Lonchura striata: one gene and its partner. The protein of the gene in region 1 interacts with the protein of each later gene in a biochemical or structural test. Links are inferred from orthologs where the notes say so. Each region holds a gene or a part of one and is shown on either strand. Other genes may lie near its edges.

Region 1 (7,973 bases):
CATGTAATTTTTTTTTTTTTTTTACTCCACTATGCACCACACATTCTGGTTGGTTAGGAGATGAATATACATCACCCAACTTCTAGCAAAATTGTGCTGGAAGGCAGGCTCTAAGTCTTCAATACCACTTTCAGGAAAGATGGAAGAAAACAGATTTACTATTAGGTTTTTAGTAAGGAAAGAATTTGGATGCATGAATGATCAACACTGGCTCTTCACCAGCAATGTACAACTTGCAGAAAAGGAAGAAATAATCCCATATTGTGCCTCATGCCAAGAATGGTACTGCACTGCCTGCTCAAAACACCTCAGTAATACATACTGAACATGTATCAAGCAGAAAAATATCACCACAATCTTCATCTGTAGAAATTTATTTTAATTAATGTAATTCATTAAAGTTAATTTTTGCCATGCTTCTAGTTTCAGACTTAAAAAAGATAAAAAACTTCAGAATGAAAATAACAGCTAATAAAAGTGGGGTGGGAGACAAGGTTAGAGGGGGTGAACACATCATCCCTGTCTACAAAAAAACTTTAGGACTACTGAAATTTAAATTCACTTTGACTATAATGTGTTTCAAATCAGGCTATTCTCCAGAGTATTTTTTGTCTCTTATTAATCTCAATGTTTTCTACAAACTCTTCAGGAACAAAAAGTTCTTAAAAGGCAGAAGGGCAGGGGGAAATCCACTGGTTTCAATTTAGATGAAATGTCAGTGATGGCACTGGTGAGGGACTGTTTGTTAAATCTTCAGAATGAGGAGGTCTGGTGTATAACAGGTTTCCAAAACAAGAAGAATATTTCTCAGTTATGAAAAGAACAGCAGCAGGATTCTGATGATCTCTAATATTTTACAAATTATTTATTTATATCTGTTTCAGAAAACAATGGCCTGATTTACTTTCACAAAATATGTTACCGTTGGTCTATTTCAGGCCAGGTTTTCTACCCCACTTTCCAATATGTGAAGAATATTTAGTGTTTAGCAATGGTAGGAAATATTTGGAGTGATGCAGCATCTCCTGGGCATGCATAGAGGCAAATAATCACAAAAAAACTTTAGATAATGATTAAAAACTACTTAACAATTTTGGAAGAATGTCTGAATTTGGGATGGCTATTCTCTTCATTTGGAATTTCAAAATCTTGCCTTTGTTTTGGGAGTGCAATACCCTTCTGGGATCAGTAAAGGAATAGAAGAAAATGCTTGAATTCAGAGTTTTCTCCTCCTCTAAGTTTTTCCAGGTGCACAAAGAGTGCAGTGTTTTCAAGCCAGTGCAGTTACAAACATGAAGCTGTGAAATGGAGATTTGACCCCTAAGGTTGAATGTAAGGCTTCACCCTCCTGAGTGCTGAAGGAAGTGTGGCTGGCTACCCAAGAGAGGCACTTGAGCATAACAGCCACAGAGGGTCTTAAGTGCAACTCTCCCCTTGGTCGCTAAATATGACTTTTAAGGAAGCTACAAATGCATGCAAATATCAGGCGTATCCTACGTGAAAGAAAAATATTACACAAACACATAAGAAAATTAAGTACTCACTTCCTCTCAGGCAGCTTCCTCATCAGCTCTGCAGGGTACTTCTGCCATAGCACAAGAGTTTAGTACCTCACACATTTCATGCATACTAGGAAGCAAAACATTCTCTCAGAACAGATGAGCAAAATGAAGGAAAACTCACCTGGAAGGTGTTAGAAAAAAAATCTCTGCTAACCACACTGCAAAACTTAGCTTAATTCTATTTAATCTAATATTTAGACAAGAACAAAGGGAGAATAATTACTATATTGAAAAGTTTGCTTAGCAAATATTATAATATTACTAAGGTACTATCTCCCTTCTAACATTAAAAAAAATATAAATAGGAATATGAATTTTTCTAAAAAGACCAAACAGTATAATGGTGAGAGACTTAGGAATTTCTGATTGATTAGTTTATTCCTTCATGGATAAGATGACTGAAATGTGACAAAGATCAAAAGCCATGTAGTGGTGAAATAGTGTGCCAAAAAAATGCTCCTTATTTAGGCAGCTATTTTTTCACCTTTTCTTGTTTTCCAAAGTAGTATTCTGTGAGCAGGGTATGAAAATAAAGAAGTAAGGTTTAAAGTAAATGTCTTGCATGCATACATACATATAAGGCACACTAGACAGTGTCAAATGATGAAAATATGCTTATTGAAACAATTTGTTCTAGAACTGGGTGATATTTTAAGTACCACTTGAAGTTTAAGAACTTCAACAGTTCTCTAATTATACCCTGGAAAACATTAATAAAAAAAGAATAATATGAATGTACAGTTTTCTGAAGATCCTATTTAATTAGGATTCTTGGAATCAAGATGTGTGCCTCTGAGAAAAGCAGCACAAGTTTTTTAAGATTCTTCACCATATTTTCAACTTATGTAACTCATCTGAAAACTAGAAGAAATTCAGTATGCATAGAATCATAAATACACTTTTGATGGTGACTTGATATACTATATTAAATATTTTTATAGTTTCATGGTTTCAGGAGAACCTTAAAGGTATACTCCAAACTAATGCACACTTTGAAATAATTGGCACTGAAGTATTATAAATCCATTGCAACTACCTCACTTTTAAAAAACTAAATCTGAAGAAGTTTAACAAAGAAAATGGATTTGAATTACTGTTCTATTCTTATTTTTGCATCCTTAAAATCACGTTCCAGTGTGTGTAGATAGCTGAACGATGGTCTTAATTTGATCATCAGATTACCTCTACATGCCTCCTTTACCTTTTTGTATAAACATGAAAATTTAATTTCTATCTACACCTTAGGAAAGGAGTTTTTATGAGCAAATTACGCAGAAACAAAGGAAGAAAACAGCAAGTGTCTAAAAGGAAGTCAAGGCAGGGAAATACAACAGAATATAATTTTATAAAGTAATTCAAACAAATTAGAGTTTGATCAGGGCACTAGAGTGAATTTACTGACCTACTGAGAAACATTTGAAATCCGGTGTAGTTCAACTGGTAATACTGGTGATTTTGCAACTTTTGTAGATATCTTCAAACAAAGTCCCACTCATCACACTGAAGGGGATGTGTCTAGAAGGAAAAAGTGACACTTATATTTCCTTGAGTTCTGGCATTCCTCAGGGAAGTGCCCTTGCTGAGTACTGATGCTCAGGGCACTGTGTCTCAGTCTGCACCTGCTGTGCTCCAATCAGCTTACAGCCTGCAGCAACATTTCCATCACTCATGCTTGGGCCTCCTTCTCCATGTGTTTTCTCCAGCTTCTCCATGAAAAGTTTTCCTCATACAACCAAACACTCATCTCTGAGCTCTGCAACATTTTACTAACAATCTAAGCTATACTGCTCTGCTTTTTGACTTGTACTTCAGACTCTAAAAATGCCTTTTTCATCTTCAAAGACTTTGCTGTTATTCCACAGATGCTCCTTCCCAGTGCTGACAGATACAGAAAGCATGTGCTAGTTTTTAGCAAGTTTCATATTGTTATATGTTCATATTGTCAATTCATTCTGACAATAATGCTAGCAAGTACATGTTGTCAAATTTTTATTATTTCTTCAACACTGGGCTCTTTCCTTAGAACCTCTATGGTGTCAAGTTCCATATTTTACTTTAACAGTTCGGTTTCAGAAGCATTTTCTTTCTTTCAGATATTTTTGCTTTTTATTTTATATTGTGATGCTTTTAGGGTGACAACGGTGTTTCTGCTAAGGTTTTTAAATACTGCAATGTATTCTTTTACAGAAACATAGCTCAATTAAAATCTGTCTGGGAAAAATAGGGAACATGGTAGCTTTGGACCAGAACACTTGTCTGATGGGAAATTCAAAACCTGGATCTAAAAATATGATCACTGAGCTTTAGGATTGTCCAGTTTGTTAATTAACAGGTTAATGTTTTATCATTATTATGAAAGTTAGTGGCCTAGCTAGCCTCTTTCTCAGCTTAAGACGAAAGAGTTTTTGCCCTCATTCATGTAAATCCTCAGCATTTTGGCCATATCAGAACAAGCATGTGCCTACTAAACAGGTGGCATTGGTATTTCATCTACTACCAACTATATTAAGGAGTCATTCATAAAATGAACTAAAAAGGAATATCACAAACACACCTAAAAGCCTCAGGAGCTTCAAAAAATTGGATTTTATAAAATATTTTCCTATAGATTTACTTTCTGGAGTCATCTTAATCAATACTGCGGACAGATAGATATTTTTTTTTTCTCTATTGAAACATCCCAGAAATGCCCTCATTTACTCAAAATTGCATCTGACATTCTGATATCATCAGACTACTCCAGGCACTCTAGCTGCTGAAATATTTCCTGAGGAAAAACTACTTGACCTGTCAACACAATTACTGCCCTATTACAAGGCAAACAGATGCTTAGAAAAAGTACCAGAGCATTCATGTTCTCTTTAGGGCTTTTCTATAAAAGCTTCTGACCTGAGCTCATGAAGGAGCATTCATCACTAAAAAAAACATTCTTCACTGATGCTAGGAATCTATTGTTTCTCTTATACACCTTTCTTTTGGGATTCTCATGTCTTTGGTAATCTTTTCATATGCCATAGTTTTCCTCTAATGAAGTTTTTCTGCTTTGGTCTTTTATAAAGCTCAGCATGCTACTGTGAAAGAATTAAAAAAAAAAAAAATAGGTGTTTATGGATTGCAGTAATTCTTTCCCTGGAAGTAAAAAATCCTATGATTTTCACACATATTAAAAATAGAAAAAAACCAACCAAAAAACCCCAAACAATTTTTTCTCCTTTTAAATTCCCTTATATCTATTTCCACTCTTACACTGTCACAAATACAAACACTGCCTCTCGCCAAACATGTCTCTCATCAAATCAAGAATTTCAGACATAAAATGGGTGGCATCATTTCTATGGGGACAAAATACTCAACTGTGATTTGTCCCTATTAAACCACCGTATAAATAATGGAACCACTGGGATGAGGTAAATCTGCAGGAAAGCATTTCAGATACTGCAGGCAGATCCCTGTCTAATCTCCCATTTTCCTGCTGTGATAAGATGTGAGCAAACTTCTTTGGGCACAGACATATCTTCACTAAGATCAGCTGTGCCACTGTAGTGACTGCAGAATAGTACAGGTATAATTGTACAATTGCAGGTATAATTGTATCTTCCAAATGCTGGTGGAGGGGGGAATAAAAAAGAAAAAGGAAAAAAAAAAAGCCTGTGTTGGGATGCAGTTACAAAAGTCTTACTCAGAGAGCCCCAACTATCTCCCTTCAGGAGCTACTGAGACATACATAAATGTATATACATACACACACACACACACACGTATATATACATATATGCATTGTTCCTTTATGGTTTTGTTTCAAACATGTATTTACTTCCCAGAATTACAGTAAAAAGTAAAACTCCTTTGCATGCCATAGATCACACTATGATTGCATGGAGAGAGCTGTGAAATGAGCGTACAAAGTCAGTGAAAATACATGAAGAGCAAAACAAAAAAATTATAATCTTTCTTGCAAGAAATCACTGAAACCACTAAAAAGAGATTGAACAGCTTAGCCAATGGCCTGCATATTTTCAGGGTCCAAGTTACAGTGACATTAAATATGACAGTGTAGCATGTTGCCAAGTGGAATACATTTTCATTTTTACAAAAGAGTTTTCACAGAGACAGCAATAACAAAACTGTTATGGACAAGACAGTGATGGCACAGTAAAACAAAACACATCTAACTATCACTAAATTTTCTCCCAGTCCCAAAATCTTCTTTCAAGGTTCACCATGGTCTATTATTTTTCACAATTCAGAAAGAAGTAGCCAGAAAAAGATCTATCAGAGTGCTACACCAAAAACATTGATTCAAAACATTCATCTTTTTCCAGGAAGTCAAAACCTGGAATATCTGTCCAATTTCCAAACACACACAAAAGAGTGCCTTGGGCAGAGAGCTGATGATACTGTAAATTTTCTTTACCATAAGATCTGAGAAAGGCTGGCTTCCAGAAGGACCAGCATCCAATTGTGGATGGATCCACAAGCCATAACTTTGTTTTTCCTTCCTTCTGACATTTCTATCAAATTTGCTGGCAAGACATCTCAGAACTAAAGATCATGAATTATAGAAGCAAGTTGCTATAACCAAATGGAAAGTGAATGAAAAGCTTCATCCATTAAAAAAAAAAAATCCAGGAGAAATTCAACATTATTACAACAGCCTCAAAGTTTTATAGCCTTACAGGACTAAGACAAAATGCCACATTTCATTCAAAGTTTCAGATAAACATCACTGCGGTTCCACAAGATAGGTTTATTTTACATTCCAACAAGTGTCTTCATTAGACTTTTTAAAAATCAGTAATTGTGGCAGGCTGGCATTTCCAAAGTTATTATGCAGGGATTAACTCCTCTTCTTTGTTCAGGTCTGTCTCTACTCAGTTCCAAGTCTAGAGGCTATGGATATATAAATTGTCTCAGTTTCTCAGCCATGAATATTAGCCTTCACTTACTGTTAAGCAAGAACACTTGGACCCCATTACACTTCATTCCTTATCTGAAATTTATTGGTCCATCTTTGTAATTGCTAAAACCTTTGCTGAACAGATGCCTCAATGGACTGGCTCCATGAGTCAGAGTGGTAAAATGAGGCAGGTTCCTCTTTCAGACCAAGGTTATTTTGCCATCTGAAACAGTCTGCAGTATTCTTCTTTATATAGAAAGCACAGAAATTACTGTAGGAACAAAAACAACTTGCCTGTCATACTCCTAGAATAGGCAAGCTTCTATAAAACTGGGCAAGCCTTCCCAGTGCTACATTCTAGAGTCTATAAAAACCATGCCATGTTTTCTTATTTTTTGAAAAGCTTCTGCTAGGAGCACAGGCCAGGTAAATGTTCTGCCACAGACACACTGTAAGCACCATCTCTTAATGGAAATTACACTCACAAAGAATTGACACCCACAGAGGTATGGGAAAAAAGGTCAAGCATTTCTGTTTTTTGAAAGGAAGATGTGATACTAGCTCACATAGCCAGGCTGACAACAGTAAAAATCTTTCTTAAAATCTATCTAATAATTAGAAATATAGAAGCATAGCATTGTTCAGGTTAGAAGGAACCTGAAAGATCACTTACTTCCAAACCCCCTGTTACAGGAAGAAATACGTTCCCCCTGACCAAGTTTCTCAGAACCCCATCCAGTCTGGCCTTGAAGACTGCCAGGGGCATTTACAAGTTCTCTGGGCAACCAGTTCAAGTGCCTCAACACTCCTGCAGTAAAGCATTCTTTATTTAACAGAGTTTTTGTTAGGAAAGGAATGCTTTTCTTGAAAAATACTATAATCCAACAATTGCACCAGCTCTTCCTGACTATGTTTTATGAGGACACAGGTATCATAAAAGACAGACTGCTTTGCAAAACAGACTCTTCATTAGTGCATCAGCCATTTAGAAAAGACTAAGTCTGTATCTCTCCCCATATCAGCCTTTATCATCAGAACAAGCAGCACAGAAAAAACTTCTCATTGATATAAAGACAGAACAGTCTCTTAACAGGCAGGAACTAATTTTAACCAGCAAACAAACTGAAACCTACCCTCTCCTCTCATATAAAACATAGAATGTTCCAGAAACACTATACACAGAGAGAGATATGTGCCCACTCTTCCCATCCTAAAAAGTAAGCCCATTAGCAACCCCTGGACCAACTGAATACTCTTGATAAGGCAAATTTATCACTCTGGGTAGCAAGAGGATGCACCTGGCCTCAGTGTGTTCTGGGCCAATAGGCAGTATTTCCCTGTCTCTTGCATGACAAACTGCCAGGCTGGAAAAAGGGGCCTCTTTTTTGATGGTGTCCTGTTCTCTGCACAGCATCAGCAGCTCCATCTCTAAATGGTCCACTGGTGATTGCCTCTATGGATAATTGCTATGTCAGGATATCAAAAAGCCACTTCCATTTGATGAAACTTGTCTC
Region 2 (7,979 bases), on another chromosome or scaffold:
ACCTTTTCTACATTGTCTTGGCCAGCAGAGCAGAACCAATGGGATGACACTCAAGGTGGCATGAGCTTCTTTTTGTGACTCTGGCAATCTTTCACCTTCTCTTCATTTCTGTTCACTATATACAAGGATGTGGCCTGAAGACTGACCAGCAGGAAGTGAGTGTCCATATGGGAGCCTGACACCTTCTCATTAATCATGTGTTCCCCTCTGGATTCTGATTTTAATTGCTTGTTCCCGCTGGTCAGCCAAAATGCTGAGGAGGACCACAGACCGTTCTCTGTCTGCTTCAGCTTGCTCCCCTGCTTCATGTAGTGCATGGGGATGTACTATGCATTCCTGCAAAGGAGTGATTGATGATGTTACCTCTTTCACAAAACTAGGTCGCCTGATCACCACAACTGGCACCTGTGTGGAGAGTGTTGCTGTACTTTGCATGAAATTCAGGAAGCAAGAGGAAGGCAAAAGAGATTGATACCCCTGGGTCTTGTCCCACTTTGTAGTTAAGTGATAACTGTGGTGTGCTTTTTGACCCAGAAAGGAGGAAATACCACTTGTATGCATGCCTGCAGCCATGGCCAAGTGACAGAGTGTCACTCTTATGAGCTGTGCCAGAAAGGCAGAACCAAACATTATGAGATGAAAAATCGAGGTGGGGGAGGGAAACCTTGGGAAGGAAACATCTGCCAAGAGCTCTTTTTTTCCAGCCAAATCAGCTTGCAAGTGCCAAGCAACTCCCCCCTAACATTTGAACCATTCTTGAGAAAGCCATGTTTGCTATTGAGTGTGACACCGTCTCTTTGTATCAACCCAGAATTAACTTATTTATTAAATCATGTGGAAACAGATCCTTAAGTGCAGGCTGGCATCAGATAATGCAAATGAATAGCAATACTTTTTAAGGGAAAGAGTTACTGTAGCTGACTTTTTTTTTAAGGTCTAGGTGAGACAAGTTTTGTAGGTAGGAATCTTGTTTAACCAAATAGTTGGAAAAGGTAATGTGTGAACGCTGGGTTTTTTCCAACAGTACCAGCTGGGTCTATTAGAAGATACTATCTCTACTTACAAAACTGGCCTTAGTATTGCTGAAACAGATCAAAGGAAATACTTCTAAACAAAGTTTGCACATAATCCAAATTTACCTTTTAAAGTCTATCATTATAGTATATAATTAAGGAAAAAAACGGATGTGATCAGGGTCTACAGTAATATTAGAAAGAATTTAGCATTTATGAATTTTTCATAATTGCTAATAATTATTTTTTTTTTTTTTCAAATAAAGCCTAATACTTCAGGCTATATACCAGCTACTGTCTGAAGTCAGAGGGAGATTGCCACTCTTGAGGAGGTTATTCCACAAAATTATCTGCCTTTGAAATATTTGAGGATTACTAACATGGCAGTCAGGATATTGGACTGCATGCAGTGACCTGCTGTGGCAATACCCATGGGTCCCTAACTGGGCAGTTGTCTTTACTAAGAGTATCGAAGAAACCAGGTGTTGCTCCTAACCAGACTCCTGTTCATGTGCAAAAAGAAATTCATTTCAACTCAGTGAAGTTTTGAATTCAAATCAAGTCACAAATCAGGAGTTGACCCTGAAGTGCTCTTCCTAACACCTACATTAATAATGTATGCTAAACCTTATATTAATAATGTATGGGGGGAGGTCTTAGCCCTAAGCTAGAATTAAAATTAGTACGAGCACTAAAATACAAGTCTAGTTTCACTGTGCTGGTAATCCAATCGTATGGTTCAGCTAGAGAATTTCTTACCATGGTGCTGCTCCCACTGGCTTAGGCTTTATCTGCTTGTTGCAGTGAAGGCCAACCAGGATGGATAAGCTGGATAAAACACTTGATAACAGAAACCATTTTCTCATGGTGGAAAAAAGCCCTGCTTACTCATAGAATGCTTTGCTATTGTATACATGTGTATGATACATTAATTGAACCCTTTTGGACCCCAGTCCAGCATCTTTAGGAATAAGTTAATATGGCAGAACTTATAAATATACTTTGGCTTAGTCCAGTAGATGTGAACTCTCCTAGCTGGATCTTTCACAGAAGCTTTTACACTGAAAACCTGACATATATGTTAAGGCTTCTGATACCAGATCAGCTGAATCACCAGCAACCGATTTTCATTATTAAACAGTAGTTTCTCCTTGTCAGAATCACAAAAAAGCAAAATATCTTCAATGGAATCCTAGCAGCTACCAGTGCTGAGTGCATCAGATGGAAGAAAAAACAAAGCACTTGCCAATTTTAAATCAGAGGACAAGAATCCACTTGCCTAGTACATATGTAAGTGTTTAGACAGGTCTTTGTCAGGCTACCCTACCAACAGTGAGCGCTCAGTGGCTGGGATAGATGTCTGTTATTTTCAGAACAGAAGTACAAACTGTCTACCCCTGTTTTCTGAGGGCAAAACCTCTATATATGTGTAGGGTTGAAAGGGGTACAGGAAAGTACAAAACGCATAATTTGTAAAGATGTTGAACTGATTTGGTCTCCCAAACCAATCCCTAAGGAACACCACTTGTCACTGCTCTCCACTTGGACATGAAGCCATTGACCACAATTCCTTGAATTAACCATCCATCCAATTCCTTGTCCACCAATTGGCGCCTCTGTCAAATTCGTATCTGTCCAGTTTAGACACAAAGTTTCATGAAGGACAGTGGACAATTCTTTGCGTAAGTCCAGGTAAATTATGTCAGGCATTCTTCCCTCTCACCAAAGCTGTAACCCCATCATAGAAAGCCACCAGATTTGCCAGGTGCCATTTGCCCTTAGTGAAGTCATGCTGACTGTCACCAGTCACCACCTTATTTTCTATGTGCCTTCTTATAGTTTCTAGGGGAATTTGCTCCAAGATCTTGACAGACAGCAAAACTGACTACACTGCTCTGTAGTTCCTTAGGTTTTTTTTTTTTTCCCTAAAGATGGTAAAGGATTGGGGTATCTGGTAAGGGAGTGAAATGGCTGGGGCTGTTTAGCCTGTAGAAGAGAAGGCTTGGGGGGAGCCTTATCAATGTGTATAAATATCTGATGGGGGAGCCCAACTCATTTCAGTGACAGAACCACCTGCAATGTGCACAAACTGTAAAAGAGGAAGTTCACTCTGAATATCAAGAAACATTTTTATACTGTGAGGTTGTTTAAGTGCTGAATAGATTGCCAGGAAAAGTTGTGGACTCTCCATCTCTGTTGGTATTTAAAACTGTACTGGATGTGCCCCGGGGCAGCCTGTGCTAGCTGATCATGTTTTGAGTATAGCACTGGACTAGGCAATCTTCAGAGGTGCCTTGATACCTCATTCATGCTTAGGGTCTGTGTACCAGTGTGGGCAGTGGAAAAAAAAGGGGCAACCTACCAGCCAAGAAAGCTTGTTGTCAGCATGGTATTTTCCTGTTTGCATCAATTTCTTTAAAGCCTATGGAATCCTATGCTTCTTTTTCTCATTTTTGCATCCTTGCAAATATGTACCTCCCTAATTTTCATATAATTTCAGCTCCTTCCTCTGCACTGCAAAACACACAAACTTGTGTTGAGCACCACAGTACAATGGTACTGACTCATTCAGTGTGTCTAAGGCAGTCTTGTGAGAGATCATACAGTCATATCATGAACAATGCTGGCCTCTGTGCCCCATTGCCTCTGCAGTTGCCTTCAGGATGTTTTATGTGTCTTCTTTTAGCTATGGTATGTCTGTCTAGTTCTGATTAATCTACTTTTTTTTTTTTTATTTCCCTAATGCAGAAGGCAGATATCAATAAAAAAATCTAAATATAGTCTCTGAGATGTTTCTGAGAACACTTTACCAATACTGAGTTTATTTGTTTAGGGATTCTTTTTATCCAGGTTCTGAACAATTGCAGAATCATTGCTCAGCCCTTGGCAAGTAAAAATAACAACTGAATGAATAAAAAATACCATTTTATATATAAAATACAACAGCCAAGCAAATAATAAAAATCCCCCAGTCTGTCCTGGGGAATCATAGAGGGGAAGCTCAAGCTTAATCCTTAGAACTGGGACTGATTTGTGCTTGGTGACTGTGATGCACAGCTGTGCAAGGCAGGGAGATCTGTCTGCCCCTCTGCAATGTCCTGTTCTGGTACAAATCAGTGGGGCTTGCTGGCCCCAGCAAGTTCTCCTACACCTGGAGCAGTTCCACCTCTTACACACCAACAACCTGGAGCCGATGAGGAGGCAGCTCCTGAAGCACTATGCTCCAAGGAAGGTGGCAAGCAGGGACAGGCTAAGGGCAGAGGGATGCTGCCTCTACAGGTTTGCATTTCAGCCTGGAGGCCTTTGTTTTCATCCCCTAGACAAGTAATCTGTGTAACAGCTTCAGAACAGCTGTGGCTTGCTTTGAACCTTCCTGCAAACAGTGCTAGTTCCCTGTTCCCCCTGGTATAAGCACAGCCCCATGCCACAGGCCCACTCCCTGCCTTGGTGGCAGCCCCCAGGATCTTGGAGGTGACCGCAGCAGGTCCTCTCTCACCAGCAGAGCAGAGGCTCACCAAGCATGGGAAACCTCCGTCGGCCCACCACGACAGATGTGGTGGGGTATTCCCATGGTGTTGCACGAACTTAATTTGGATTTTTTTTTTTGAGCTCTTCAGCTTGGCAAAACACTTGCTCTTCCCCTCATCAGGACTTGTAGAAATTATGCTAACTGCCAGTGTGTGAAAGCAGAAATTGTAACTGCTTCAAAAATAAGAGTTGAAGTGAGACAGCACAAATTTACAGGAGAAAATATGTCTTAGTAAGCATGAGCAAAGGACTTGAGACTGAGCAGCTGAAGTGGAGGCAGCTGCTCAGCTTGGTGGAGGCATCCTGTGACAGAAGGAAGATGCTCCCCGACCCCCAGAGAGGCCCCTCTTCTCCACGTCCCACAGCCGTTTCCTTGTGGCTCAGGTCTCGAGCCCTCTCATTTGAAGAAGTGGTTTCACTCTGGGCAGTGACATGCACCCTTAAGGCAACCACCTGCAGGCTCAGTTTCACTTGTGGGGCCAGGGCACTGCAGGGCGCCACCAGCAATGACAGCGAGTTGGCCCCACAGCTGCTCCACTAGAGCTCCATTTCATCTCGCAGGTGAGGTCTTCTCATCACACTCCTCAGGCCCTTTCATCTCCATTCCCCACTCTCACTGCACCCCTTCACATCTTTCCTTTCTCCTTTGATTTCTTCTTCTCTTGAATCTTTTATTTTCTGTCTCACCTTTCTTCTCTCTTCTGGAGATGCTCTTCTTTCTCCCATCACCCTAATCTCTCCCAGCCCAGCCCAGCTTTTTCTCTTACTGCATCTGACACATTTTATTCTCAAGGCAAAAAGTATTTAAATTACTGATTTTTTTTTTGTTCTCTTTCTTCTGATGTAAATGTATTTCCTGCTGTTAGTGCTAGCTTGACCTGAGCACTTTAAATAATATACCTGCAATTTCCCACATAAATAATCTATGAATCAGATACCTTAGTAGAGTGAAATATAATGATGTATCATTATCTTTTCAGGTTTTGTTGTTTTTGTTTAATGATCTAAATTGAAGAAAACATGATATTAATATATAGAAAGTACTCTTTGCTTACTGTTAGAGTGAAGTGTTTTGGAATTTAAAGCTTGATATCCTCTACTGAAAATCAGCCCAGCAATTAGCTGTTAAGAAAAAAGGAAATAGCATTTGCTTCCATCTCAAATGCCTGAAACTGTTTTTCTCTAAAATTAATGGCTTGTTCCTATCTAAAATGATCTTGCTGATTCAAAATCCAGGACTGGGTGCATGTTTTTCTCCTGATATAGTTCTAGTACATACCTGAGAAAGTTTTTTAACAACCTGTGGTCCATTTTCAGCTCCATATACAGAGATAATAATACTTACTTCAAAGAGAAATTGTTAGATATTATTCAGTTATGGTTGAAAGTCTACATGAGCTATTTGAAGAGAAGGTGGAGTAAAAATGAAAATTAATACTTTATGATCTTGTGCTTTGCATGATTGCTGATACTACTAAGCAAACCCTGTCAAGGAGGGATTTCTGTGTTTTCTTCTTTGACTGAGTTTTGCTATTTTGCAGGCTGCCTAACAAAACAAATAAAAATTACTAGCATCTGAAATGTAATGGTGCCCAAAGACCTGTCAGTGTGGGTAAGAGACATTTGTGCAGAGAGGCAAAAAGGTGTGAGAGCCCCAAGATATGATTATTCTCTAGGAGGACTGCTGTTCTTTCTGCTGAGATATTATTTAGTCAAGGCAAGGTGCACAGGGAGGCAGTGTTTCTTCTCATAAGGCTGGCTATTATAGGAGAAAAAGTGCTTTTGGACATACAAAGCAGTTAGGATCTGAAGCATCAGAGACAGACTTAACAGCAAAAATCCTGAGAACTGCTAGTTCCATATATGTCTCTAACAGATCACTCTTAAAAACAATTTTGATGTAAATAATGTGAAGCATTCAATAAATTATATACAATCTCTTAAAAATACCCGTGTCCCCTTTGAGAATCTGTTTTCTGATTGAGATAATATTGAGTAATAAATTGTGCAGACAACAGATGGTATCCATATGATGAACCAGTGTCATCAGAAATGGCAGCACTTAACCAGCAAAGGAAAGCTAAAGAATAATAACACCTGGAGGAAAATCTCCACAGTATCTTTAGACTTAAGGCAGCAGGTCAGTCTTAAAATTACAGGCTCAGAACTGCAAAAGTTTCAAGAAAGAACAAGCATCTTGCCTGTGTTATTTGTGAATAAATGCTCCCCAGCAGCAAGAAATTTAATCCCAAGAACTTCAGAAAACAATATACACAATACTATATATGTAAATACACCTATATACATTAAAAACACTATTCCAGTTTCTCATCTTACATTCTTCTGGTCATCCCAAACAAGAGTTTGTGGCTAAAGGGAATGTTATCTAGCATACAATTAGCCTTGCATTAGTGGATGGGGCAGGGATGGGGCCTGGGAACAGATGCAGTAGTAGTTTCGTGTTTTACAAATTGAAGAATTTTGTAAAAAGAAACATTCAGTGACCTTTCTCATCAGAGAAAGTTTTCCACTGACAACCACTCCTGCATCCTTTTTTTTAGTTGCACCCCTTTCTTACTGAGAGATGTTCATAAAACCCAGTTTCAGGGCACCTGAGAGAAATGAAGATATGAGAAGCTGCCTAAGATCTCCCTGTGGCTGGCAAATGAGAGGAAACATATATGAGCAAGGACTGCAAACTCAGATTCCAACAAGGTCCAGATTAGATTATGGTGTGTCTGACTGCACAAAAATTATAGAGTAGTACTGTTGAAAATTCCCTCACAGAACATATAAGTGTCCATTAAATTCCTATGACAGAGATCGTGGAAAATATGAGGTGGGCCAGCATGTTTCTTTTAGAGGAGAACCCAGAAATGTGTGGGACCCAGCCACCTGCAGGATCTGTTAAACTCACAGAAAATTGGATTTCTCTCCAACAAAACAGCTGACAAACATTCCAGAGCAAGTTAAGGCACTGAGCCCTGCCACTGGCAGGAAGGTGAAATCAATGAGCACCCCAGGGGGAACCAAGTTTGATCTTGTCTCTTTCCCAAAACATGCAAAAACTTGGGTGCAAGCTGGTTTTGAGTATTGGATAAGGCCAGTACATTGTCTGTTCACTCAGGGAAACTGTTGTGCCCAGCAGACCACATATTCATGGTCATCCATCACCATATATTTCATGGATCAGAAGATAAGGTATCACTTCTGAAGATTCCCGAAGGTGAAAGGACTGTGCAGGAAAATAGTTGTTTTCCGATGAAGTAAATGCAACTTAAAACTCTGGGTGTTTTGTGTCTTTTGAGGTTTGGGGCCATTTGCTTTTCCCTTTCTTCAGAAAATTCCTCTGGTTATCCATATTTCAATGTACTGAGAAGCTGGAAGATGCCCAGAGTGCAGCCCAACTTCCAGGGCTGCCCCACATCTCTGCCCAGT

Evidence for each region. The genes of interacting proteins can lie anywhere in the genome.
Region 2: of the proteins of SYK (region 1) and FLT3, one has a biochemical effect on the other in vitro, tested with the Homo sapiens proteins (2 studies listed by IntAct, with this or other methods). The link is inferred for Lonchura striata from reciprocal best matches to the Homo sapiens genes SYK and FLT3.

What each region holds. Positions count from the first base shown.
Region 1 is NC_134642.1:7,797,324-7,805,296, forward strand, and holds the start of SYK (tyrosine-protein kinase SYK), read right to left. Parts: upstream 3,073-7,973; 5' UTR 2,965-3,072; intron 1,630-2,964; 5' UTR 1,568-1,629; coding exon 1,545-1,567; intron 1-1,544. UniProt on the Homo sapiens protein: Non-receptor tyrosine kinase which mediates signal transduction downstream of a variety of transmembrane receptors including classical immunoreceptors like the B-cell receptor (BCR).
Region 2 is NC_134604.1:68,999,594-69,007,572, forward strand, and holds the start of FLT3 (receptor-type tyrosine-protein kinase FLT3), read left to right. Parts: upstream 1-4,972; 5' UTR 4,973-5,047; coding exon 5,048-5,102; intron 5,103-7,979. UniProt on the Homo sapiens protein: Tyrosine-protein kinase that acts as a cell-surface receptor for the cytokine FLT3LG and regulates differentiation, proliferation and survival of hematopoietic progenitor cells and of dendritic cells.